Linked DNA regions of Xenopus tropicalis. The protein of the gene in region 4 purifies or fractionates together with the protein of the main gene of each other region. This does not show direct contact. Links are inferred from orthologs where the notes say so. Each region holds a gene or a part of one and is shown on either strand. Other genes may lie near its edges.

Evidence for each region.
Region 1: the proteins of krr1 (region 4) and kri1 purify together in Homo sapiens (affinity purification with mass spectrometry; 3 studies listed by BioGRID and IntAct, with this or other methods). This does not show direct contact. The link is inferred for Xenopus tropicalis from reciprocal best matches to the Homo sapiens genes KRR1 and KRI1.
Region 2: the proteins of krr1 (region 4) and gnl2 purify together in Homo sapiens (affinity purification with mass spectrometry; 3 studies listed by BioGRID and IntAct, with this or other methods). This does not show direct contact. The link is inferred for Xenopus tropicalis from reciprocal best matches to the Homo sapiens genes KRR1 and GNL2.
Region 3: the proteins of krr1 (region 4) and noc4l purify together in Homo sapiens (co-immunoprecipitation; 3 studies listed by BioGRID and IntAct, with this or other methods). This does not show direct contact. The link is inferred for Xenopus tropicalis from reciprocal best matches to the Homo sapiens genes KRR1 and NOC4L.

What each region holds. Positions count from the first base shown.
Region 1 is NC_030679.2:138,190,645-138,197,304, forward strand, and holds the start of kri1 (protein KRI1 homolog), read right to left. Parts: upstream 4,295-6,660; 5' UTR 4,177-4,294; coding exon 4,101-4,176; intron 3,656-4,100; coding exon 3,582-3,655; intron 2,358-3,581; coding exon 2,252-2,357; intron 2,051-2,251; coding exon 1,960-2,050; intron 1,655-1,959; coding exon 1,603-1,654; intron 1,457-1,602; coding exon 1,407-1,456; intron 1,170-1,406; coding exon 1,076-1,169; intron 839-1,075; coding exon 761-838; intron 664-760; coding exon 542-663; intron 461-541; coding exon 334-460; intron 153-333; coding exon 57-152; intron 1-56.
Region 2 is NC_030678.2:84,698,766-84,704,625, reverse strand, and holds the end of gnl2 (nucleolar GTP-binding protein 2), read left to right. Parts: intron 1-105; coding exon 106-518; intron 519-2,219; coding exon 2,220-2,281; intron 2,282-2,981; coding exon 2,982-3,061; intron 3,062-4,102; coding exon 4,103-4,252; 3' UTR 4,253-4,292; downstream 4,293-5,860. UniProt on the Homo sapiens protein: GTPase that associates with pre-60S ribosomal subunits in the nucleolus and is required for their nuclear export and maturation.
Region 3 is NC_030677.2:156,451,549-156,457,325, reverse strand, and holds part of noc4l (nucleolar complex protein 4 homolog), read left to right. Parts: intron 1-582; coding exon 583-689; intron 690-1,332; coding exon 1,333-1,440; intron 1,441-1,514; coding exon 1,515-1,664; intron 1,665-2,061; coding exon 2,062-2,164; intron 2,165-3,614; coding exon 3,615-3,649; intron 3,650-3,738; coding exon 3,739-3,789; intron 3,790-3,944; coding exon 3,945-4,056; intron 4,057-4,502; coding exon 4,503-4,563; intron 4,564-4,721; coding exon 4,722-4,832; coding exon of another isoform or gene 4,833-4,836; exon of another isoform or gene 4,837-4,919; coding exon 4,920-5,080; intron 5,081-5,651; coding exon 5,652-5,734; intron 5,735-5,777.
Region 4 is NC_030679.2:61,101,835-61,108,168, reverse strand, and holds the start of krr1 (KRR1 small subunit processome component homolog), read left to right. Parts: upstream 1-1,967; 5' UTR 1,968-2,116; coding exon 2,117-2,186; intron 2,187-2,447; coding exon 2,448-2,623; intron 2,624-2,838; coding exon 2,839-2,973; intron 2,974-4,064; coding exon 4,065-4,190; intron 4,191-4,275; coding exon 4,276-4,359; intron 4,360-4,446; coding exon 4,447-4,503; intron 4,504-4,976; coding exon 4,977-5,147; intron 5,148-6,042; coding exon 6,043-6,120; intron 6,121-6,204; coding exon 6,205-6,298; intron 6,299-6,334. UniProt on the Homo sapiens protein: Part of the small subunit (SSU) processome, first precursor of the small eukaryotic ribosomal subunit.

The DNA.
Region 1 (6,660 bases), about 77 Mb from region 4:
TATTCTTCCTGCTCTCCCTGCACCCTGTATCGCTGCCGCCCTTTTCTCCCACCCACCTTCATTTTCCTCTCTTTGGTCTCCTCCCTCTTAGTCTTCCTCCGGTCGTCCTTGCGTCTCACCGACTGTGCGATGGTTCTGGGGAAAGTCTTAACCTGGGAACAGAGAGAGAAAACTATCAGAGCCCCAGAATCCCATGGCAACGGGGATGGGGGGGTCCCCCAAGCAGCCCCGCAGCTGCTCATTCCATCTTAAAATACAGACAGACAGATGGGTCACATGAGCACTCAGCCAATCACAAATGCTCAGGTCTGTCGCTCAAACTGTATAACTAACCAAATCAGAATCCGGCTCCTCAAATCTAAAATTGTATTTTCTCTCAAAATCTTCTTGTTTCTTCAGGAAAAGTTCCCCCTCGTCCTCTGAATCTGACACATGTGGGGCCTCTTCTAGGGCTGGGGGGCTACGCAGGGAGAAGGGGGCAAGTTAATCAATATTATATACTTATATTATGTATTTAGATGTATAATGATATAAACCTTACCATTCCTCATCCTCCTCAGAGTCCTCCTTCTCCTCCAGATACTCCTTGTTGAGTATATAATCCCGCAGGAATTTCTCCCCCTCATCCAGAGCCGGGTCAGACCAATATTCCTTTAGGAACCCCTAATGGAACAGAAAGGAAAGTTGCAGTGAGTGAAACCATTTCAGGATGACAGAGAGGACATTATTATTATTATGAAGCATTATCCCAGCCACTCACCATCTCCTTTACTTCCCCTTTATCATGGATTTCCTTCTGGCCCTTCAGCCAGGCAATGTATTCCTCTTCCTCCTCCTCCTGTAACAACCAAACATTACATGTTAATGGGCCCCACATTAAGCACGGGGTAAAGATGGCTGTACTTAGGATAGCTTAGGCATTGTGAGAAATTCCTATTGGCCAATAGGCTTGCAGCCTCACCTACACACAGACCAATAGTCAGACAATCCAGCTGAACTACTGAGATAAATAAACAGCAATAGGCAGGACACTAATGGAAGGCTGGGGAGAGAGAGTTCCTTAACCACCACCAACCTGCTCCTTCTTGGTCTTTATTCGTCTCGTCAATAAATTCCCCGCCGTTCCCTCTCCGTCCTCGTTGTCACTGTCCTCCACAAACGTCCGGAAGCTGCAAAGGAACCATAGAATTGAGGGTTAAATGTGTCCCCTTCAGAAGCGCCAGTGACCAACTCCTGCAGAACGGCACCCAGAAAACCACATACAGACACATTATCGCCCAGGGAGCCGATTGGAAGCGGTGCCTTTGGGCGGCATCCAATCAGTGCTTAGCAATAGCCCAGCTGATTGGTTGCTTAGAACATCCCCTGAGCGCGAGAAGCCTTCATTCCATTTGTACCAGACTCACCTCTCTCTGATTTGCTTCTGTTCTTCCAGGTACGTGGGGGAGCGGGCTCTCTGCAAAACAGGAAGTCATTACCTGACCATGTGATCCTATGTGTCCATATAATGGCTTCCCCCACATTCATGCATTTCCCAGCCCACGTACAGCAGGATGCAGCCTCACTATGGTGTTTTTATGGCTACAAAAACAATGTTCTCACCTGATCCTGCAGATCATCATCTTCCTCTGAATCTTCCTCATCCTCATATTTGCTTAAAGGGAAAACAAACCATTACTTGTGTATCCTATCTTTTTTTATTCTGCCTTTCTGCCATACAGCCACCTACAGAGGGCAGTTAGTGAGGCAGGACATATGGCCTCGGAACAGCAGAGGGTGGCATTGCTTTCAGGGCACACTTTGTTTATCTGCCGAACAACCCCAATCCCATGGCCGTGCCACCCCACCTTTGGGCGCTTGTTACACATAAAGCACAGGATGTAACAGGTTTTACCCAATAGGAGGGGCGGCAGTGGCTCTCGGGGAGTCGTACTTTGCAGCACTGGCGGCTCTGCTTACCCCTCCTTCTCTAGGATGACTTGGCGCTCATAGTCCTTCAGGTACATGGGCTTCTCTTTGGCCGCTTTACTCTGGCCTGAGGCAGACTCTCCTAAAAAATAACAGACAGGGGTAAATAACATGAAAGAAGTGAGGGCTGGGTTTATCTGAAACTCCATCATTTCCCAGACAGGCGGAGCCACACTCAGCGGTGATCCAACAACATGCGACAGTCCTCACCTTCTCCTGTAATGCAATGTATGACCCCCCCTATAATAATCCCTCTAATTTAGTGTGTGTTTGTGTGCGTTACCTTCATTGCTGTAAAATGTGACATCTTCTTGGTAGATTCTGGGATCCTTCCTCTTCAGCAGTGACAGCGTGCGATAGAACTCCTTGTCCAGCTTGGGATCAATTACCTGGAAATCAAATATGTCTGTAAATAACACATTGTATACTGTTCTACATAACAAAGGAACTACCAGGCCCAGCGTAACGAGTATAACATTGTGTTATGTAGTCCCTCCCACTGCAGGGTGATACAGTGACACAGACAGGAGGGAGCTATGGGACACGGAGTCTGTCCCTCCCACTGCAGGGTGATACAGTGACACAGACAGGAGGGGGCTATGGGACACGGAGTCTGCCCCTCCCACTGCAGGGTGATACAGTGACACAGACAGGAGGGGGCTATGGGACACGGAGTCTGCCCCTCCCACTGCAGGGTGATACAGTGACACAGACAGGAGGGGGCTATGGGACACGGAGTCTGTCCCTCCCACTGCAGGGTGATACAGTGACACAGACAGGAGGGGGCTATGGGACACTGAGTCTGTCCCTCCCACTGCAGGGTGATACAGTGACACAGACAGGAGGGGGCTATGGGACACGGAGTCTGTCCCTCCCACTGCAGGGTGATACAGTGACACAGACAGGAGGGGGCTATGGGACATGGAGTCTGCCCCTCCCACTGCAGGGTGATACAGTGACACAGACAGGAGGGAGCTATGGGACATGGAGTCTGCCCCTCCCACTGCAGGGTGATACAGTGACACAGACAGGAGGGGGCTATGGGACACGGAGTCTGCCCCTCCCACTGCAGGGTGATACAGTGATACAGACAGGAGGGAGCTATGGGACATGGAGTCTGCCCCTCCCACTGCAGGGTGATACAGTGACACAGACAGGAGGGAGCTATGGGACATTGAGTCTGCCCATCCCACTGCAGGGTGACACAGTGACACAGACAGGAGGGGGCTATGGGACACGGAGTCTGCCCCTCCCACTGCAGGGTGATACAGTGACACAGACAGGAGGGAGCTATGGGACACTGAGTCTGCCCCTCCCACTGCAGGGTGATACAGTGATACAGACAGGAGGGAGCTATGGGACATGGAGTCTGTCCCTCCCACTGCAGGGTGATACAGTGACACAGACAGGAGGGGGCTATGGGACACGGAGTCTGCCCCTCCCACTGCAGGGTGATACAGACAGGAGGGGGCTATGGGACACGGAGTCTGTCCCTCCCACTGCAGGGTGATACAGTGACACAGACAGGAGGGGGCTATGGGACATGGAGTCTGCCCCTCCCACTGCAGGGTGATACACACATGACAAGTAATGATGAATAAGACTGTATTTACCATCTCTTCATCTTCAGACTCGGAGCTGGAGGTGCCCTCCTCTTCCTCTGGCAGGTCCCCATATCGGTCTTTGACTGCACAGAAGGGAACAGATTAGCAGACATATTAATACCTCAATTAAATCATAACTGACTGCAATTCCTATCCCAAACACAATGCCATACAGTTACAAGACTACAATTCCCAGCATGCCCTGACAGCTGCAGAGAAGCACTGAGAGGAACAGGGGGATCAGAGCGCACTGCAGCCTATAAGCAGATACTGATCTTACCAACTGGGTCATTTGTGTTCTGACAGATGATTATGGGTAATATGATTGGCCACAGGAATGTTTAATACCCAGAATCCCCCAAGCCTTAGCTATTTCAAGTCATAGGACCATCAGGGACCATTACCCACTGAAACTGTCTATACTACAACTCCCAGCATTCTCAGCGGCCACACAAATCTATCATTCAAGCGTTAACTGAACTCTCCGAACCCCCCGTAACCCAGAGCGGATAAGTTCGGGCGACTCACGGCGCTGCAGCTCTTCTTTCTCACGGTAGCGATCGTATCTCTCTGCGAACTTGCGGTTTATCTTCAGTTCAGCCATGCTGAGCCCCAGCCCGGAAACACGTGAGCAGGAAGTCGCCTCAATGCGTCAGTGTGGCACGCAGTAACAGCCAATCCGCTAACAGCGTGGGCGGGGTTTGAAACAGGGGGAGGGTCTTGCGTTCCAAATAGGGGAGGGTCTTGCGTTCCACAGTGTGTACAGCCCTTTATGGTGGGATTTATATACATTCCCTCAAGTGTTCAACTAATCTGGTCTGGTGAAATTACTCTCTTAGTAGAACAGAGCTCAGAATGTCCCCAGCCCCCTGGCAGCAGTAACATAAGCACCCCAGCAGCACAAATGCACAAATGCACAAGGCCTGTGGGCCTTCATTTTTATTACTGGCAGTTTTTTTAATTATTCTACTATTTGTTCTGCAGCCCTCCAGTTTGGAATTTCAGCCTTTATCTGGTTGCTAGGGTGTCTAATTTACCTTAGTAACGGAGTGATTTGAGAAAGTGGCTTATATATGAATAGTAGAGGGGCTGAATAGAAATAATAATAGTAATAAAAAGTAACAATAACAATTGTAAGCTCTATGGGGCAGGGACCTCCTTCCTTCTTTGTCTCATACCACATGGCACTTATATATATATATATATATTTATTATATCACTTGTCCTCCCTGTGTGTAATTTTGAATTCTGTGAGATTGTACAGCGCTGCGTACCCTTGTGGCGCTTTATAAATAAAGTTATACATACATAAAATTGTAGCCTCACAGAGCAATAGGTTTTTGGCTGTTGGGGTCAGTGACCCCCCATTTGAAAACTGGTCAAAACAAGGCTAATAATTTAAAAATGATAAAAAATAAAGACCAACTGAAAAGCTGCATAAAATAAGTAACCCTATAGCTTATTAAAAGTTAAATTAAAGGTGAACTACCCCTTTAAATGGCTTACGTTTCTTTACTAAATTCAGCCAGCAGGTGGCGATCTACGTGCTGCTAAAGTGCAAGTGGGTTGAGTGGGTTGAGAACTTGGGCGCCCAAAAAACTTTTAAAAAGCAGCACGCTCATTAAAATTGTTTAACGTTAAACAAAGCTATTTTGGCGATGTCGTTAAGCCCATTTTATAAGGAAAAAAAATAAATCTAATGACCTTAAGCAATTAGTGCAGGTTTTAGTGAAAGCCGCGGAGAAGGTTGGGGATTAGTAAATAAAGGGAGGGATACATTATTCAGACAATACACAACGCGCGGATAATCTGTTGTTATTCTGGGGAATTTCCAATGTGGCTATACAATGCCATAGAAAGTATTAGCTCCCCCCCTCGTAGTCTTAAGAAGTAAATCTCCGGCAAGAATGTAAGGATCAGGTGTTTGGCCACTGATGAAAAGGGCTACAGCCCCCATTTATTATTGTTATTACTGATTTTAACCCCATTACACGGTTGCACAATATAAGGACTATGACAGTGTGATCATATGTTGCCCACAGTGTGCTGGGCCGACTCAGCAGCTTATTGGGTTGTATGTGGGGCTTCCTGACCAATATTGGCCAGGTTAGGAATGTGTCTCAAACCTTTCTCCTTGTAGATTGTAAGCTCTTTTGGGCAGGGCTCTCTTCTCTCTTGTATCGGTTATTGATTGCTTTATATGTTACTCTGTATGTCCAATGTATGAAACCCACTTATTGTACAGCGCTGCGGGATATGTTGGCGCTTTATAAATAAATGTTAATAATAATAATAGGAACTCCAGTCGGGGTATGATCATTTATGAGATCTCCTTTTTGATGTGAGCATTGGCCTGGGGGCTAACCTATAGAATCAGAACAGAATATCAGCAAAATCAGTGGCCTAAGGCAAATGTCCATATTGTGAGCCAAAAAAACAGATTCAGAGCACTGCATTAACCCCAGGCATGGAAGTAAGATCACTGCAGAAACTGGATTTGGGGCATTGCATTAACCCCAGGCATAGCAGTAAGAGCACTGCAGAAACTGGATTTGGGGCATTGCATTAACCCCAGGCATGGCAGTAAGAACATTGCAGAAACTGGATTTGGGGCATTGCATTAACCCCAAGCATTACAGCAAGATCAGTGCACAAACAGGATTGAGGGCATTGCATTAACCCCAGGCATGCCAGTGAGATTACTGCAGAAAACTGATTCAGGGCACTGCACTAACCCCAGCCATGCCAGTGAAATTACTGCAGAAAATGGATTTAGGGCATTGCATTAACCCCAGGCATGCCAGGGAGATCAGTGCAAAAACAGGATTCAGGGCATTCCATTAACTCTAGGCATGCCAATGAGATTACTGCAGAAAATGAATTCAGAGCATTGCATTAACCCCAGGCATGCCAGGTAGATCAGTGCACAAACAGGATTCAGGGCATTGCATTAACCCCAGGCATGCCAGTAAGAGCACTGCAGAAAATGAATTCAGAACACTGCCCCACCCGTAAGCAGAAGCAGAACACCGCAATCTTCTCTCCCTCCCAAACTCTCCAAGCCACTTGTCTCTCCCTAAGTGGAAAC
Region 2 (5,860 bases), on a different chromosome or scaffold from region 4:
TCACTTATGTTTAAAGCTTTATCCTGGCAGTAATCTTTTATGGTTAGCCTAAGCGAATCAAATATTTACATGTGAAAAAACAATAACTGTTTTTGTAATTTACAGACAGCACAGGCATTGGCTACTCCTGCAGATACCAGTAGTGTTACTAAGGAGCAGTCAGAGGAAAATGATACAACAGAAGCTTCTCAAGAAAATCCAGACAGAAATCAGATCAAAGATCTCATGTCCCATGTACGACAAAACTTTGGCAAGATCAGCGTGGCACCAGAATTCTCAGAGGAAGATTTAGTACCTATTGAAGGAATCCCAGATATCTCTGATGTTGAGTCTGAAGAAGAGGACTCTGCAGAAGAAGAAACAGAAGAGGAAAGCAGTGATATGCTAATGGGTGAAACAAAGGATTCAAGCACCAAAGACAGAAGTTCTAAAGCACTGGTAAAAGAGTTAGATGATCGGATTGCAAAGTACAAAAAATTCCTAGACAAAGCCAAAGCCAAAAGATTTTCTGCTTTAAGGTAAAGTATGAGTCTTTCTGAAATAGAGAACAGGTTTAGGGAGATAATAACTAGAATAATAAGTCTTAAGTTGTGGGCTTTGTATATAATAGCTTAGCATAATAATAGCACTTAGCTGCCATACCATTCTTCATGTCAAATGAAAGCAGCAAGAATAAACTGCAGCTGCACTGGAATAATTGTTGGGGGAGCCCATACCTGCCCTATTGACTTGGTTTTCTTGTATCCAATGGAAATATTAGACATTATTCTTTCTGTGTATGTTCATTACATAAAGCTTTAAAAACTACTTATTCACTTCAATATACATCAATCACCCAGTCCAAGTCTTAATCTCCACTGCTTTTCTATTGAGTGAACCTACAACTGCGAAGTCTTAGTTTGCAGCTGGTTTAATCTTGGCACTTCAACAGCTTCACTAGTCCGGTAATCTTCCTGGAATGGTATTGGGTGATATTCGCTATTCTTTCTCCCAAGATACCATAATTAATTCACCAGCATTCTCTCATGTAACATCACAGCCTGGCTGTATGGAAAGGTCTTGCTGGGACTTCTCTGTATTGGGAATCTGGAGATGTTTTTTTAAGACCTAGACCATCTCTAAGGGATTTGAAAAGTGCTCACTTATTAAATCTAATGATTCACTGAATGTTCTTTGATTGAAGACTTTCCAGTTTTCAAATGGGTACGTAACATTGTCTCGTTAGCACTTGTTGTGCAAGAGAATAAAATCTGTGCCACATGTGATGGTTTGGGATACTTGCCACTGGATCTGCTTTGCAAGATTCGCTAATGAAATATTGTTGTGTTGGCACTTTTTATTTAATCCACGTTATATGAAAAGTGTAATTAAGATATTAACACTGGTGAGGAAAGTATGGAACATGTTGTTCATTTCAGCAGGAAATGAGAACAATGTCTTTTAAGGCACAGGGAAAATAAGATTTTTTTTTTTTTTTTTTAAACCTTTAATCCTGACAAAGACAAAGATTTTGCAAAGTTAATCATGCAGGTTTTTAGAACACATTCTACAAAATGTATGACAATAAAGTTAAAGGATCACTTAGGTTAGTTAAATTGATCCAGTCTGCTTTCATATGTCTAGCAATACGTTCGAGATGAAATTCTGGCAACAAAATATTTGCTTCCAAAAGCTCTGTATGTCATCAATAAGAATAAAATGCTGCTAAATGGGTCTTATAAATGGGTATAAAATGGCGTTGATAGTGTGATAGGTGTTGAATGAAGTGTAGTACATTTTGTAAATGTACTGTGTGTGCGTCACTTTCTTTACCTTTAACTTCACCTGTTTCTTCATTCCTATCATAAATAAGTGATAAATCATAGTTGAATAATGTGAAATTACAGATGGTTAACATATAAGTAACTAAGTTTATACTGGAGAATATGAACTGTTTGCACACTCGCTTGTGTACGCAGGCCGAATAAAAAAGAATGACATAGGTTTAATGATAACTTGACCATCAAGATTGCTTGAACTTTATTAGTAACAGAAACAGACTATGTACTTAAGAAGTAAAGTGTCTATACAGTTTCCTTGTAAATTGTGGGCATTTGTGGGAAGCTATTGTCTAGCTTATAAAAATAGATAGAAGTTATATTACCAATAGTGGTTACAGAATTTTACCATTGCCTACTCTGTTTAAGCACTTTTAATAAATGGGATTTTTTTCTTTGTAGAATTCCTAAGCATCTGACAGAAAACCTGTTTACAAAACCAAGTGAGGACCAACAAGATAAAGGTATTAATGTAAACTCGATCCCACTTACGCATTCATTGCCTATGTTTACTGCCCACATTATTATTATTCTCATCATCTTTCCTACCTTCAAATGGGCCATTGTAAGCATCATATTGATGATAAACTCCAGTTAAACAGAGCTGTAGTCTAACAAGGAGGCTGTCGTATCTGCCCCCACTAGCTGACAGAATACCTCATAGGCTGTGCACTGTTTGCATGTAACCCTCTCTTGTGATTAAAAGTTCTTTACTAAATACATATAGGAACCTTCAGTATCATATAAACCCATTGACCACTTTTGCTAGCCAGTTGTATATGTCACCTCTGGCACAAAAGTGTGAAATCTGTGTTTGGGAAATATAGGACCCTGGTGTAGCTATCCGTTAAATACAATGTGTAGTGATGCTCGGTTCAACGAACAAAAAGTAAACCCTCATCTGACTGTAACCCACCCTCTCCCGACCCAAGACCCACCTAACCCAGTGCACTATTCTGATTTTTATGCCTTTCCTTGTAAGACATCACTGGAGGGGGCATGCCAGGCAAGCTTGGGTATACAATTATGTGATAGCCCCCAAAAGGAGGGGAGAATTGGATTGAGCTAACTGCAATCTGCTGGCCTGATCCTGCCTGACCTATGCAACACTAACATCATGTTTATAAGTTGTTATTTTTAAGTTAAATTCATAATGTATTTCAGGAAAAGGAAAGAAAAGAAAACAATGTGATGCCGATGAAGAAGATAGTGAACAGCCACAAAAGAAACTTTCATCAAAAGAGGTTTGTTAATTTGTTTTTAAGATTAAGCAATATAAATGACATGGAGTAAAACTGGATGTACACATATAGATTGGTGCATGGTTATATACAACTGTAAGGCAAATGCCAGCAGCTTTGTAAGTAAATCACCAATCCTATTGCACAATATATTTGATAAATGCATTTCATTTATAGTACTACATGCATCTAGACAGCAGATAGATTTTTTTTTTTTTTCAGATTCACAGTGGCTATAAAAACTATTTGCCCCTTGACACTTTTTATGTGTTTTTTGTCTTAGAAATCACAGAATTTTATCTTGTCTTTTTGACACCAATTAGCTGATTTAAGATACTTTCACGTCAAAGTGAAAAAAGAACTATGTGAACTGATTTAACTTAATTAAAATAAAAACATATTAATTGTAGTATACACCCCTATACATCTTTGGCAGCAATTACAACATTAAGCCTGTGTGGATAGGTCTCTATCAGCCTTACACATGTGCATTTTTTTTTTTTTTTTTTAACATTTCTCTGTGCGGCTGCTCAAGCTCTGTCAGGTAGCATGGGGATTGTGAATTAATAGGCCTTTTTCAATTCCAGGTTCAGAATCGCTGTTTTGGATTGAGATCTGGACTCTAGGCTAACTGGGTTAACTTTAGAACATGTAGTGTCACCAGTTTTGACAATGATGAGTGTGGCTTAATTGGCCAGTTCCAATGATTAGGAGGAGTGGCTCTTATGTAAATGAAGGCAGTACAGTTATACATGCACAAAAGGGGTTGTCTACCTTTTTGCCTTGATGTTTAAAAGTCTTATTTTTGTTTTATTTGTATTAAAATTAAGAAACTTGCCTGATTCCTGGGTATAGAGATATGGAGTGATGGGCGAGTGAGCCAGAGAGGAGAAAGCTGCCAAGAGGATTAATTGTTTGCAAAAGAATAAGGAAGAGTCCTGTTGTTAACATGTGCAAGTTGCCATCTTTCTAACACTGAGAGATATGTACATGTGATTTAAATGTATTTCTTTTTTCGTTAACCTTTTTTCCTTTACTTTGCAGAGGAGAAGGCAAGAGCGCCAGCAGCACTCTAAGAAAGTTGGTGTGCGGTATTATGAAACTCATAATGTCAAAAACAAGAATCGCAACAAAAAGAAAACAGACTCCCAAGGCCAGCAAAGCAAACACAGAAAACAAAAGCTTAAACACTGATGTCTAAAACTGTTTTGCAATTAAATTACTTGAGACTTTTTTTCAGTATGTCCTTCATAATTATTCAAAGCTCCATCTATGTGTGAGAAAATAATAATCCCCACGGCTTGCTACAAATGAAGCTTTTACGCTGATACCTCTTCAAATGGTACAGTCTCTGTGTATAACATGAAGGCCTTCTCTGCTTCTCTCTTTATTTATGATACCAAGAGCATCTTTACTTTTAAGTGTCATGTATAAGCCCTAAAGGGTAAGTAGGATATGTGGGGCAGCTGAGGAGTTTTTGTGGACGTTATCTTTTTCAGCTATAAACTTGCCACTCTTGTATGGTCCAACCATTGTGTGAAACACATGCATGTTTTATATGATGTACTGGACACAGCTATGTTAAAAATCCTTAGCTTATCCTACTTTACCTTTTTTGTTCTTGAGATTTTAGCTTTGGACTATAAATTAGGAGCTAGAGTAAAATAACAAGTTGCTAAAGGAAACTATATCATACAATTATTTAGTAAAAATGTATCACACCAGCTAAAATCTACTTCCACTGGGATGATTAACATAGCAAACTTTTTTTTCATAATACAGTTAAAAATAAAAATAGGATGTTGTCAACTATGCCTAATTTACATCCATTTTATATAAATGTCTAAATAGAATGAACTCTTTTCTCCTGCTAAAAACTTCTGTAAAAGGAATTTGTATAAACTATACTGAATTAGACTCATGGAGGACTCATCAAGGAAATCACTGTATGTCCTATAGGCTGAAGTTCATCCACTGGGTTTTAAACAGAGCCAGGGCAGCTGCTTATCATATTTCAGCTATAGACTGGCTTCAGCTTTATTGGGGCTCATCAGTGCAGTGATTTCTCATCAGAATGTGGGAGCCACAAAATGTGGTTTTACATAAACAGCCTATTCATATGCTCACCTTTTTTTATCATGAGGGATAGCACAAAATAACATATGATGCTGAGGAAACTGAGAACAAACTCAAGAAGGTGAGAGTGGAAAGAGAATATATTTAAAAAAATATATAAAATAGAGAGTAACAACAACAGAAACTGAAAAACAGGGGTGGAACAGTAAAGAGCAAGTTTTTGGGGAAAAAGGAGGGGGTAGTGACTCAATAGGTGGGGTCCAGGAAGAGAGAGATCAAAAGGGTAAGGGGGAAAGAAAACAAACAAAAAAAGCACATATTGTCAGAAAGCATATGCATACGTATGAGAATCTTGTCTCAGGTGGCAGTGCCCCCAAAGTTACCAGGGACAGTAACCGTAAGAGCCGAATTTCCGTTTTTCAAAATGGAAATTCAGCTCTGCTAGTGCAAGAGCGCAATTGCAGAGGGGGGTTGCATCACGGGAACCACCATGAAACACCCCTGATAAAACCATAAGAGAGGGCAATGTGGTAGTGTAGAATACTACTGACAATAATTAATATGCAGGTGAAGGCCTCCATTTAGCCCCAAAGGTTTTAAAGGACATATCAACTAAAAAAATGTTTTTTTGACTAATACAAGAAAATATAATTCTATTCATTTTTGCAATACATATTAATTACAAATTTGGTTTGATATTTGTATATAGTATATATACTAATGTAA
Region 3 (5,777 bases), on a different chromosome or scaffold from region 4:
ATATCCAAGTCTAGGAATCTGACTGAGACTGAAGAGATCTCTGGGAAAAGCTGGCGGTGCAGGCCTTAGAAAGACCAATGGGCTGATGCAGATTTATTCACTGGGGTGGATGTCTGACAAAGTGGTGCTCCCCAGAGCTATAACTTTACTACAAGTAATAATATCCATGGATTATAGCAGGGATCCCCAACCATTTTCACCTGTGAGCCACACTCAAATGTAAAAAGAGTTGGGGAGCAACATAAACATGAAAAATGTTCATGAGGGTGCCAAATAAGAGCTGTGATTGGCTATTTGGTAGCTCCTATGTGGACTGGCAGCCTAAGCGAGGTTCTGTTTGGTAGTACACCTGGTTTTTATGCAACCAAAACTTGCCCCCAAGTCAGGAATTCAAAAATAATCACCAGCTTTGAGGCCCCTGAAAGCAACATCCAAGGGGTTGGTAAGCAACATGTTGCTCACGAGCCACTGGTTGGGGATCACTGGATTATAGGAGCTGTAGTTAACAAAAGCTGTTTTTTTTTTTTTTTTTTCTTGCCGTTTGAAATGCAACTAAATACCTCTTCCTTTGCATGCCCACAGACACATGCAGTGCAGAAGACAAGTACAAAATGTGGATGAGACATCGCTATAATAGCTGTGTGACCTGCTTGCTGAATCTTTTGCAACACAGCTCTTTTTCTGTCCAGGTCAGTTGTGTTTTATGTGAGTAAATCTGGCTTCTTGAATTTAGCAATGCAGAATTTAAACAGTTACAGATTTTCATTAAGAAGGGTGTTTTGGCTAAACATATTAAATGTATGTGAAGTTCGGTACACCTTTCATCACCTGATAGTAAAAGAGTTAACATGGAATAACTGGAGGGTTGCATGTTTGACATCCTGTTTTAGAATCCCTTTCCCTGTTCGGACTTCTGGTGGAAAGACAAAGACTTCTTCTGTGTTAAGTTATTTACACATAAGAAGTTTGGGTCTTCAGAGCTGCTTTTGCTTATTTAGTGCCTCAAGGTATTTTTGACCATATGTCTGGTAGTCTGCCCCTAAGTAAAAGAAATTTCCACCACTAAAGATTTACAGCAGGGGGCGTAATCATGACAGGGTCAGAGAGATGAGGGGTGGCATGAACCAAGTAATTATTTTCTCTGTAGACTCTCAAGTGAAGGCATGGGAAGAATGTGTTTTCTGATTGTGCTCTAGTGGGCTTTTATTTGGCAAGTGTTTTGTTTTGATTTCACTAACAAAAGGAAGTAGGGCTATTCACAGAAACCTGGCGAGGAGAGGAGTGGAGTGTTGGTCACTGCTTTTAACCAGATATCATTTGTGCTTCCTACAGGAGCTTGCCCTGTGCACACTGATGAAGTTCATCCAGCTGGAAGGAAAATTCCCTTTAGAAAATTCAGAATGGAAAGAAAGCTACCGGTTTCCTATAGAACTGTTAAAGGTAAGAGGATATTCAATGTGGAGAGTTTGCCACTGATATTTCTTCTTTTAATTACTGACTGCTGTGCATTTTAGTTTGTTATAGATAATTTGCTGCAGGAGGAAACAGACTCTACCCTGTTGATCACACGTTTCCAAGAATACTTGGAATATGACGATGTCCGCTACTATACAATGACTGCGACTAATGACTGCATTGCACGAGTACAGCAAAAGACCAAACAGGTACTGACACAAGCGGGCCAGCACTGCATTTAGTATTACTAGGGCTTTCAATGATTTGGAGCAGTTTTCGGACCTGGGATATGGGATACTGCAATGCATTTTCTAGGAGCATGTGTGGGAAAAGATAAATCCCTACAGTTGCTGCAGATTATCTCTGGCTGAATTTCATATTGTACTTAACCTTGCTGGCACTCAGGTCCATTTTGATCTAGCTTAGTATTAAGGCAGTGCATATGGCATTATACCAATAATTTTGCCATTTCACAGTTTCATAGCTTGTTGTTTATCAGTTTCAGGAGCAGTGACCAAGGCCATATGCTGTTGCTTTTGGTCTCCATAAGATTTCTCACAACTGATCTAATTTAAGAAAACTGATTTTTTTTTTTTCTGTTCTCAGGTCTTACCACCAGTTTTCCAAACCAATGTGTTTTGCTTACTTTCCTCAATTAACATGCCAGTTGAGCAGAGTTCTTTGGAAAATTTCCTAGTAACCAAAAATGGTAAGCACGTCTCACACATTTCCTCTGACATCTGTAAATTGCTTGTTACAATGCTATTTTCCAATTGCTTTGTGCTTCAAGCCATGCCTCATGGTTTCTTGCAAGAGGATTATGATGCTGCAGGAGAGCTGTGTGTGTCTTCCACAAATGAACTGTCAGCAGTGGAAAGTTGGCAGTGCATGCATAGAAGCTTACCAGATGAAGCAACAGGGGGATCATTTTTATTAACCTTTGTAATTGTGTTGTAACCCTAGAAATATTTAAGAAAATTTAATTCTTAGCACTTTTCCAATATACTTTCATTACAGATTCTCAGTAGCTACAATTAGAAATAACAGAAAACATATTTTTTTTATGATTAAAACAATAGTAAAAGTATGTACAGCACAAGCCCTATTCATTGTGATCTTCTTGAAAAGGGGGTATACTGCTCCTTTAAAACAAAGTTAATCAGCTAGCTTCTGCTACATTGTTTCAAAAGTCATAATTACCAGGGTATGCAATAGCAATATTTAGACAGCTTTTAATAGCAGTTATATTTTCAAATAACTTTAAAACCATTGAAAAGTTGTAGTTAATGTATTATGGGGAGTTGATACTAATATTTTCTACTAGGCCAGAAACACTCCTGTAGTTCTGTATACAATGAAAGCATATTGCCACAGAAATATGGCTGTCTTGTAATCCTTACTGCAATTCTCGTTAAAGTTGCATTAATCTCAAGTATGTTTCAGTTATTTGAACATATAACTCCCGTGAAATTCGTTCCATGTATCGTCAAACTGCAATGACAATTGATAACGCCATTACTCCTGCAGCTGAAATACTGGAGCAAATGCAACCCTTTTCGAGGGACAGATTTTACAGCTCGCACAGCCAAATCTCCCTTAAAAACAATAACCCCCAAAACCCAAGAAATACTTCTTTATTCTCAAAATGACCAGATGCATGGTTTTTCCTCCTCATCACTGCTAGTGATTAAACTTCTGGGAGTTGATTGAATCTTATGTTCATAAAACCACGTTTTTATAGTGTGGAGATATTTTTATAGTGTTGCAAGAAACGAGCACTGGAAAAACTAGTCCATGTAATATGTGCACATATCGGAATAAAATCCAGAATTCCAGCAATGCTACCAAGTAAGCTATCAATACATCCTAGGCCTCCACTGTTTTTGCCCAAGCTCAGCAGGGGTCAAAATGTTCTGCCAGCCATCAGCATTAGGCTTTATGGAGTTGCTAACATTTGTCTCCACCTGCTTTCTGTTACATTTGCCCTAGAGAGTATTTTAGAATGTTTCCAAAATTACTTTGCAACAGCAGGAATCAGGACATATGCAGCTTAATATTGTGTGAAGATACAGGCAGAACTAAAAAATGTAAATATAATCTAAGAATAAGTTAAAGTACCAAGGGTATGTAATTCTTTTTTTTTTTTTTTTTCCCCGCAGCAAATCATGAAGACTGGAAACCGACAAAATTAAAGGTAGCTGTACATTGCATTGAATGTTTGAGACATCCTGGAGGCATTCTTATTGCTGTTAACGTCATTATATTTTTTTTTTCTTTCTTTAGGAGCATAAAAGAGTATTTGAAAGGGTCTGGATGAGCTTCCTGAAGCACCAAGTGAGTGCAGTATACACCTTTGCCAATGCTGACTCTCAGATTTGATTATAATGAGCCAATTGGTTTCATCCCTTATAAAGCCTGTTTGATCATTGTCTTTACAACTATGATTTCCAACAAATTGCATCAAGTATTCCTGTTTTGTTTAATTCCAGCTTTCAGTCAGTCTGTACAAGAAGGTGCTTTTGATCTTGCATGAAAGTATCTTGCCACATATGAGCAAACCAACCCTAATGATAGACTTCCTAACTGCTGCATATGATGTTGGTAAGTGACACTAAGGGGTACATTTACTAATCCACGAATCCGAATCACGAATGGGAAAAATCGTATTGGAAACGAAAATTTCGGAAGATCGCAAATATCACGAAAATGCTTACGTAAAAATCGTATTAGTCACGATAATATCGTATTGGCGATCCGAAAGTCACGAAATTTTCATACCGAACAATTGTAAACAACGGTAAAACCTTTCCGATTTTTTCGTGCAAACGTCCGAAAAAGTCGTGCGCCGTACGAAAAAGTCATGCGGACGCCCGAAAAAATCTGCGAAAATACGCTCGGAGCGTTCGCATGAACGCTTGAGCATTCGTGCTTTTGTAAATGTGCCCCTAAGGATAATGTAATAAATCTTGAAAAATTTGCAACAAATATAGTAAACCATATTAACTTGATAACATAAACCAGTTATTAATTATCTATTTTTTTGCCAGGTGGAGCCATCAGCCTACTAGCCCTAAATGGGCTATTTATTTTGATTCATCAGCATAATCTGTAAGTTTTTAAATATTATCGTTAATGCTAACTGGTAACATTTGTTAGAATTCAATTAAATTTTGGGTCTGTAAGTGATATTCATACACTAGTATTCCAATTTGAAGCACATTAAGTTCATTGAGCTTTATGTGAGGTTTTTTTTCATTCCCCATCAGAGAATACCCAGATTTTTACAAGAAGCTTTACTCTCTCTTGGAGCCCTCTATTTTCCATGTAAAATATCGTGCTCGTTTCTTCCACCTGGCCAACCTGTTCTTGTCGTCCACGTAAGTCCAAAGACTTAAACTTTTCCATGGATTAAGCCTTACTGTAAGGTTCCCCTGCTTAATTTGTATTCTTATCACATCTCCAAGGCATTTACCAATTTACCTTGTTGCTGCATTTGCAAAGCGTCTGGCCCGGCTCACCCTGACAGCCCCTCCTCAGGTGCTTCTGATGATTATCCCATTTATCTGTAACCTGATCCGCAGGCACCCAGCTTGTCGTGCTCTTATTCATCGCCCCAACACTGGAGGTGAGTGTTCTGTCAGGCTAGGGTTTGTATTAAGGCAGTGGAAATCGTTATCTTGCTGTGTTTTCATTTAAATTTGGTCCTCAAGGCATTGAAGAACCTAGGAATTACCATATTTTTTGCATTGTGGAAAGATTACTAAATGATTTTTATTGTAGCTTTGCTTCTGCCATTAAATATCTGCCTGTACTGTTATTTACTTGCTGCAGGGGGAGACTTAATCCTGTGCATTATTTTTTATATACTTTAGTATATACTTGCAGTTTCAGTAGTTTTTAGACCTTTTGGGTTCAGGACCTCTTTGTGGTCCAGCATTTGGCCAGGTTCCTTTTTATATCATATTTTTGTTACTCATATATATTAACACTATCCTAATGCTTTCACTCCATCAACATGTATGAAGTACACACCAAATTTCAAACTAAATGGTATTTAGTCTAGTAACACACAAATTATCCTCTTTGTTAAACAATAACTATTAGGTAGTCTTTATTCAGGGCCATCCAGCCAATGCATTGTTGTACCTTGCAGTCTCATAAAGCTGGTATAGCATTCTCTTTTATTCTTATTTAAGATCTGGCAACTGATCCTTATATCATGGAAGAGCAAGATCCAGCCAAGAGCCAAGCATTGGAAAGCTCTCTGTGGGAGCTGGAGGTAAGTGATGCAGGTTTTAGTCACTGAAGCGTACCAGTCTGTA
Region 4 (6,334 bases):
TTCGTACTCGGCGCGAAGGTTATGAAAAAGCCGCGACAATTCGCGCAAGTTGTAACGCTACAATTCGCGACAATTTATGGAAAAATCGTAAAATACCGATCATTACGAAAAAAACGCATTCAGACGCCTTCGGACCGTTCGTGGATTAGTAAATCAGCCCCTTAGTGTTACCCCCTTTTCTGGATTAAAACAACAAGCCTCATTTACCTGCGGGGCCTGTAAATTACTGGGCAGGTGGAACTCCTACTTTTATATCTCACTTGCATACCCACCAACTGGCCCGCTTTTCGCGGGACAGTCCCGCTTTTCATGGCGCATCCCGCTGTCCCGGATAGTTCCATGAATGTCCCGCATTGCAGGACATTCATTAAACTATCCAGCACAGCGGGATACGCTGGCTGGAGCCGGACGTTCAGACTTCCCCGGCAGCTTTACTCCTTATGCAGCGCGACAGGCCCTTTTATAAGGTTGCGCCTGTGGGTGTGACGTCATTACGCACGGGCGCAGCCTTATAAAAGGGCCTGTCGCCGCCGCATAAGGAGAGGAGCCGCAGACGAAGGAGGAGCTCCTGTGGGGGGTAATGTGTATGGGGGGGCTCTGTGTATGGGGGGATCTGTGTATGGGGGGGCACTGTGTATGGGGGGCTACTGTGTATAGGGGGCACTGTGTATGGGGGGCTACTGTATATAGGGGGTACTGTGTATGGGGGGCTACTGTGTATAGGGGCACTGTGTATGGGGGAGCTACTGTGCATAGGGGCACTGTGTATGGGAGGGCTACTGTGTATAGGGGGTACTGTGTATGGGGGGGCTACTGTGTATAGGGGGTACTGTGTATGGGGGGGCTACTGTGTATAGGGGGTACTGTGTATAGGGGGTACTGTGTATGGGGGGGCTACTGTGTATGGGGGGCTACTGTGTATGGGGGGCTACTGTGTATGGGGCACTGTGTATGGGGGGGCTACTGTGTATAGGGGCACTGTGTATGGGGGGGCTACTGTGTATAGGGGGTACTGTGTATGGGGGCTACTGTGTATAGGGGGTACTGTGTATGGGGGGGCTACTGTGTATAGGGGTACTGTGTATGGGGGGGCTACTGTGTATAGGGGGTACTGTGTATGGGGGGGCTACTGTGTATAGGGGGTACTGTGTATGGGGGGCTACTGTGTATAGGGGGTACTGTGTATGGGGGGTTACTGTGTATAGGGGGTACTGTGTATGGGGGGCTACTGTGTATAGGGGGTACTGTGTATGGGGGGTTACTGTGTATAGGGGGTACTGTGTATGGGGGGGCTACTGTGTATAGGGGGTACTGTGCATGGGGGGGCTACTGTGTATAGGGGGTACTGTGTATGGGGGGGCTACTGTGTATGGGGGGCTACTGTGTATAGGGGGTACTGTGTATGGGGGTTCTGTGTATGGGGGACACTGTGTGTGGCGGGGCTCCTGTGTATGGGGGGTCTCCTGTGTATGCTGGGCAAATCTGGTACATAGTTATAACTCACTTATAACTGACTGCCTTCTCTCTATATTTGTATTTTAATGTAGGAGTTGTTATATTGTTTTCCTTAGGTAGTACAGTATGAGGGTATAGCACATTTGCGTCTGAACCTGCCATTTCATCTATATAAAAGGAGTATTTTTTTAAAAAATTGGGGTGTGGTAATTGGGGCGTGGCCACAAAAGTGGGCGTGGTCAAAAATTGCTTTTTGTCCCTCTTTTCATTTTTCAAATGTTGGGAGGTATGCACTTGTCCTAGAATATATTTCCACCCCTTTTTGAGGGAACTTTATGTAAAAATAACTTTTTTCATGAAGGCAACATGGAAAAGGTCAAGATTGACAAAAAATAAAATAAACACAATGTAATGTGTAATAGTGACTGCCTATGGCATCTTACAGCAGCGCTTCTGGTATTTGCCAGAATCCACAGACTGATATCCGGATCCAATAAATTTCTCTTCGGCTAGGTTGTGGTGCAAGCATAAAAATGCTGTAAAAACGTGGAACATAAGCGTTAGCGGAACCTATTGGAACTAGCTGGACTCCTGCCGGAGAGCATTTTATGTTGCCCACTTCCCGTGTTTATGTCACGTGTTGGAGCCGGCTAACTGCAGCATGGCGGAGACCGAGCAATCTGTGGGACCTAATGCAAAGGGCAAAAACAAGAAACGCCAGACCCAGCCGGGTGAGTGCTGCTTTCAGTTCTTTGGTAACACCGCTATATTTGCTTTAATGTCTGAGATGAGAAAAAACAAAATGGAGCCGTACACATCTGCTGTATGCCTATATATATATATATATATATATATATATATATATATATATATATATGAAGGCAGTCATTTTACAAGGCTAATACAGTTGTTATAAAAACGTAGACGTCAAAGAGCTCAGTTCATGTTGCAGAACGGCATCCTTTTAGCTATGTCTTTATTTTTCTTGCTAGTGGAGGAATCTGAACTTCTTACTGTCCCTGATGGCTGGAAAGAAGATCCTTTTACAAAGGAAGATAACCCAAGAGGATTACTGGAAGAAAGCAGTTTTGCTACATTGTTCCCCAAATATCGAGAGGCTTACTTAAAAGAATGCTGGCCGCTAGTTCAAAAGGCATTAAATGAAAGTGTATGGATTGTTTATTCCTATTAACCATGTATACCACAAAGTATATCTACACTAGCATTTCAAACCTGAAAATGTTTGCTTACTACTATACTTTTACACTGGGAAATAACAGTAAAATTACAACTTAACCCATTAAAGAGGTTTTGTTAACTGCTTTTTATATTTTTTTTATCAGTGTGTTTTTATGTCACTTTAATGCTGATTCTGTGTGGCAGTTTGTTAAAGCAGAGCTGGATTTGATTGAAGGCAGCATGACTGTCACTACAACCAAGAAGACTTTTGATCCATATGTTATCGTTCGAGCCAGAGACTTGATAAAGTTGCTTGCCAGAAGTGTTCCGTTTGAGCAGGTTTGTGTTACATGTAAATATTTTTGTACAATGACCATTGCTGAGTTATTGTCACTGAGACGGTCAAATTTGTTAGAATCTCCCCGGAGAATTTGTTCACTAAACTCATAGTCTGGACGGGTGCTTCATTTCACTGAAAAAACATACTAGCCCAGGGCTCTAATTTATTGAGCATTGCTTGAGTCTAATCCCAGTGATCATTGTGGCTGCTTTGAGCTTTTTACTGCACTTTTGCATGCCCTATACTAGCAACCATAAATGACGATGGTGCTCGGTATTTTAGTATGCTGAACCATTGTGTTTTTAAGTGAAGAGCAGCATCAGCAACTGTATACACTTACATCTCTAAGTTAATCACAAAACAAAAACTGTAGTACCGTGTTAGCCAGTGTCAAAAATAATAATAATAAAAAAACAACAAACACAAATATGAGAGTATTGTAGAATACCTATATTGGCTAACAATAAAAATACATTGCAAGCTTTCGGAGCTCTAAGGCCCCTTCATCATCATCATCATTTTGCCTGATGAAGGGGCCTTAGAGCTCCGAAAGCTTGCAATGTATTTTTATTGTTAGCCAATATAGGTATAATTTCTACAATACTCTTGTATTTGTGTTTTGTTGTTTTTTTATTATTATCTCTAAGTTACTAACCCTTTCCATGTCCTTTAATTGGTATAATGAATGGATGGCAGTGTCAGAGTGCAGAATAAGTGGTCTGAAACATCTTACATATTTTTCTAGACTATTACCACATTCTTGGGGCACACATTAAGACATTTGGGATCATACTATCAAACCTGTCAGTGATTACTTTTTTTTGCCAGTTTCAGGTAGCACAATGAAAACAAAGTTCCTCACAGTGACACATGGGGGCAAGAGGGCACAGACTAGGGGTAGGAAGAGAAGGTACCTGACTGGCGCCCCCTTATCATCATGCCCTAGGCAGGTGCTTCTTCTCCCTACCCCTAGTTCTGACATTCTGACCCTGAGTAATAAGATAATAATAACAATAAAGACAGAATTTCAGATTCAGTGCCCATTTCACATAAAAAGATGTGAATGACAAAGATATTTGTTTCCATCTAGGCAGTAAGAATACTACAGGATGATATGGCTTGTGACATTATTAAAATAGGCTCCTTAGTTCGAAACAGGGAAAGATTTATCAAAAGGAGACAACGGCTTCTGGGACCAAAGGGATCAACTTTAAAGGTACTTAAAGTATGCAGTTCTGGGAACTAAAATATGCTGTGTAATAATAATGGAGATGCTTATTTAAACTACTATTTCCTAACAGGCACTGGAGCTTCTTACAAACTGTTATATTATGGTTCAGGGTAACACAGTGTCTGCGTTGGGGCCATTTAGTGGATTAAAAGAGGTAAGATGAGTAGATTTTGCATTATTGTGGTTAATAAAAGGAAGAAAAGAATTAAATTTTAATAAACAAATCTTTCTTCTTGTGCAGGTTAGAAAAGTAGTTTGGGATACAATGAAGAACATTCATCCAATATATAATATTAAGGTAACTATATAGGGATGTGGTTTGTAGTCAACATTTGTGTTAAGGTTTTCATTTTGTGTATTTGAGTGGAAATTTTTGTTTAATCCTGTCTAATTTATTGTGAGCCAGTCCTCTTGTGTCTGCTAGCCCTGTTTTTTATGGATGCTGATCTGTGTTCTACTCACATAATTGGAGACGATAGTGTAGAAAGATTTAGTTGCCTTTTATGCAAACTAATGCAAACAAATTATTGGATAAAATGTCAATAATAGATACCTGTATGTAAATGTATTTTACTGTGTGCAAGACAGATGTTACGCTTGCATGTGCATGAACAGGTCACTTGGGTATAATGGTCAATGGTACAATGACTAATCTGTTAATAGACAACCACTTTTATCTGTAGTTTTTTTGGGGTAGGAAAGTTATTGAAAGAGTTGGGTAAAGCAACCATTTTTTTTTTGTAAATTGGCAAATATTTAAAACATCCACAGGCTTTAATGATAAAACGTGAGCTGGCAAAGGATCCAGAATTAAGATCCAAAAGCTGGGAGAGATTTCTGCCACAATTTAAGCATAAGAATGTAAGCAAGCGAAAAGAACCAAAAAAGAAGAGTGTAAAGAAAGATTATACACCATTTCCACCACCACAACCTGAAAGCCAGGTATGTTGTTTTTTTTACTTTTCTAAGATCAATTTAAAGGAGAAGGAAAGGTAAAAACTAAGTAAGCTTTATCAGAAAGGTCTATGTAAATACAGGCATAAGCACTCGCAGAAATGCTGCACTGAGTTTGTGTCAAAAGATTTGTTGTGTCTGTCTTCCTCTGCCGGAGACACGCAGCTCTCTCCCCTCTCCTGCCCTCCCTTAGGAATGTGGATCTGAGCCAATCAGCAGGAAGCTGACTCACAGTCTAACTAACTGAGCATGGGAACTTTCTTTACACAGCTCAGCGTTTTTTCTTCCTGTTTGGCCTCTGATCATTTGAACAGGTGAAATATGGGGAGACTTAAGGGCACTATTGAGAGAACTGAAGGTGTGCCTGCAGCTTGAGGTTAACGCTTTATTAGCCTTTCCTTCTCCTTTAATGGTGCTTTCTATAGGATCTCTACTGTGTATTTATCTCTGTAATGGACATTACCCAGCCTTGTTATGTTAGATGCATTTACAGTAATTATTGTATGCTTTAGTTTTGACACTACACAGCATGTCTTTGGTAGTTAGCTAATTTGACAGTGCTTCTCACTCTGTCTTTTTATTGCTTTGCTGAAGGGAAAGGTTCCTCTGTATGTTTTTACCAAATTCTTTGAGTCTTATCTGCACAATTCATGTTGGATCTCTCGGTGGTCAATCATAGCTGACACAGATACCTGTGTCATTTAAAAAATGAAATAAAAAATGTTTTAAAATTGTGTGAGTTGTATAAGCATTGCTTAAAAGCATTTTCACATTGATATTGTTATTTTGAAGCACAATGCTGTGCTCAAGTTTTTACAGTTGATATAAAGATAATTCAATGTACAATGTTAATGTTAAATTGTTTTAACATTTCATTTGATAGATTGACAAAGAACTGGCTAGTGGTGAATATTTCCTCAAAGAAAGTCAGAAGAGGAGGAAAAAACTGGAAGAAGTAAAGGTAACATTTATGTTTTTTGATAAACCCTTTCTGTATCATGCTCGTGAATATGTTTTGTTTATGCAGCCTTTTCTTTGTATGCAGACAAAACAGGCAGAGGCAGTGACTAAAAGGCAAGAAGAAAGAAACAAAGCCTTTATACCACCTAAGGAGAAACCAATAACCAAGCCACAGAAAGGTAATGGCATTACATTCATTTCACTGATATTAATGG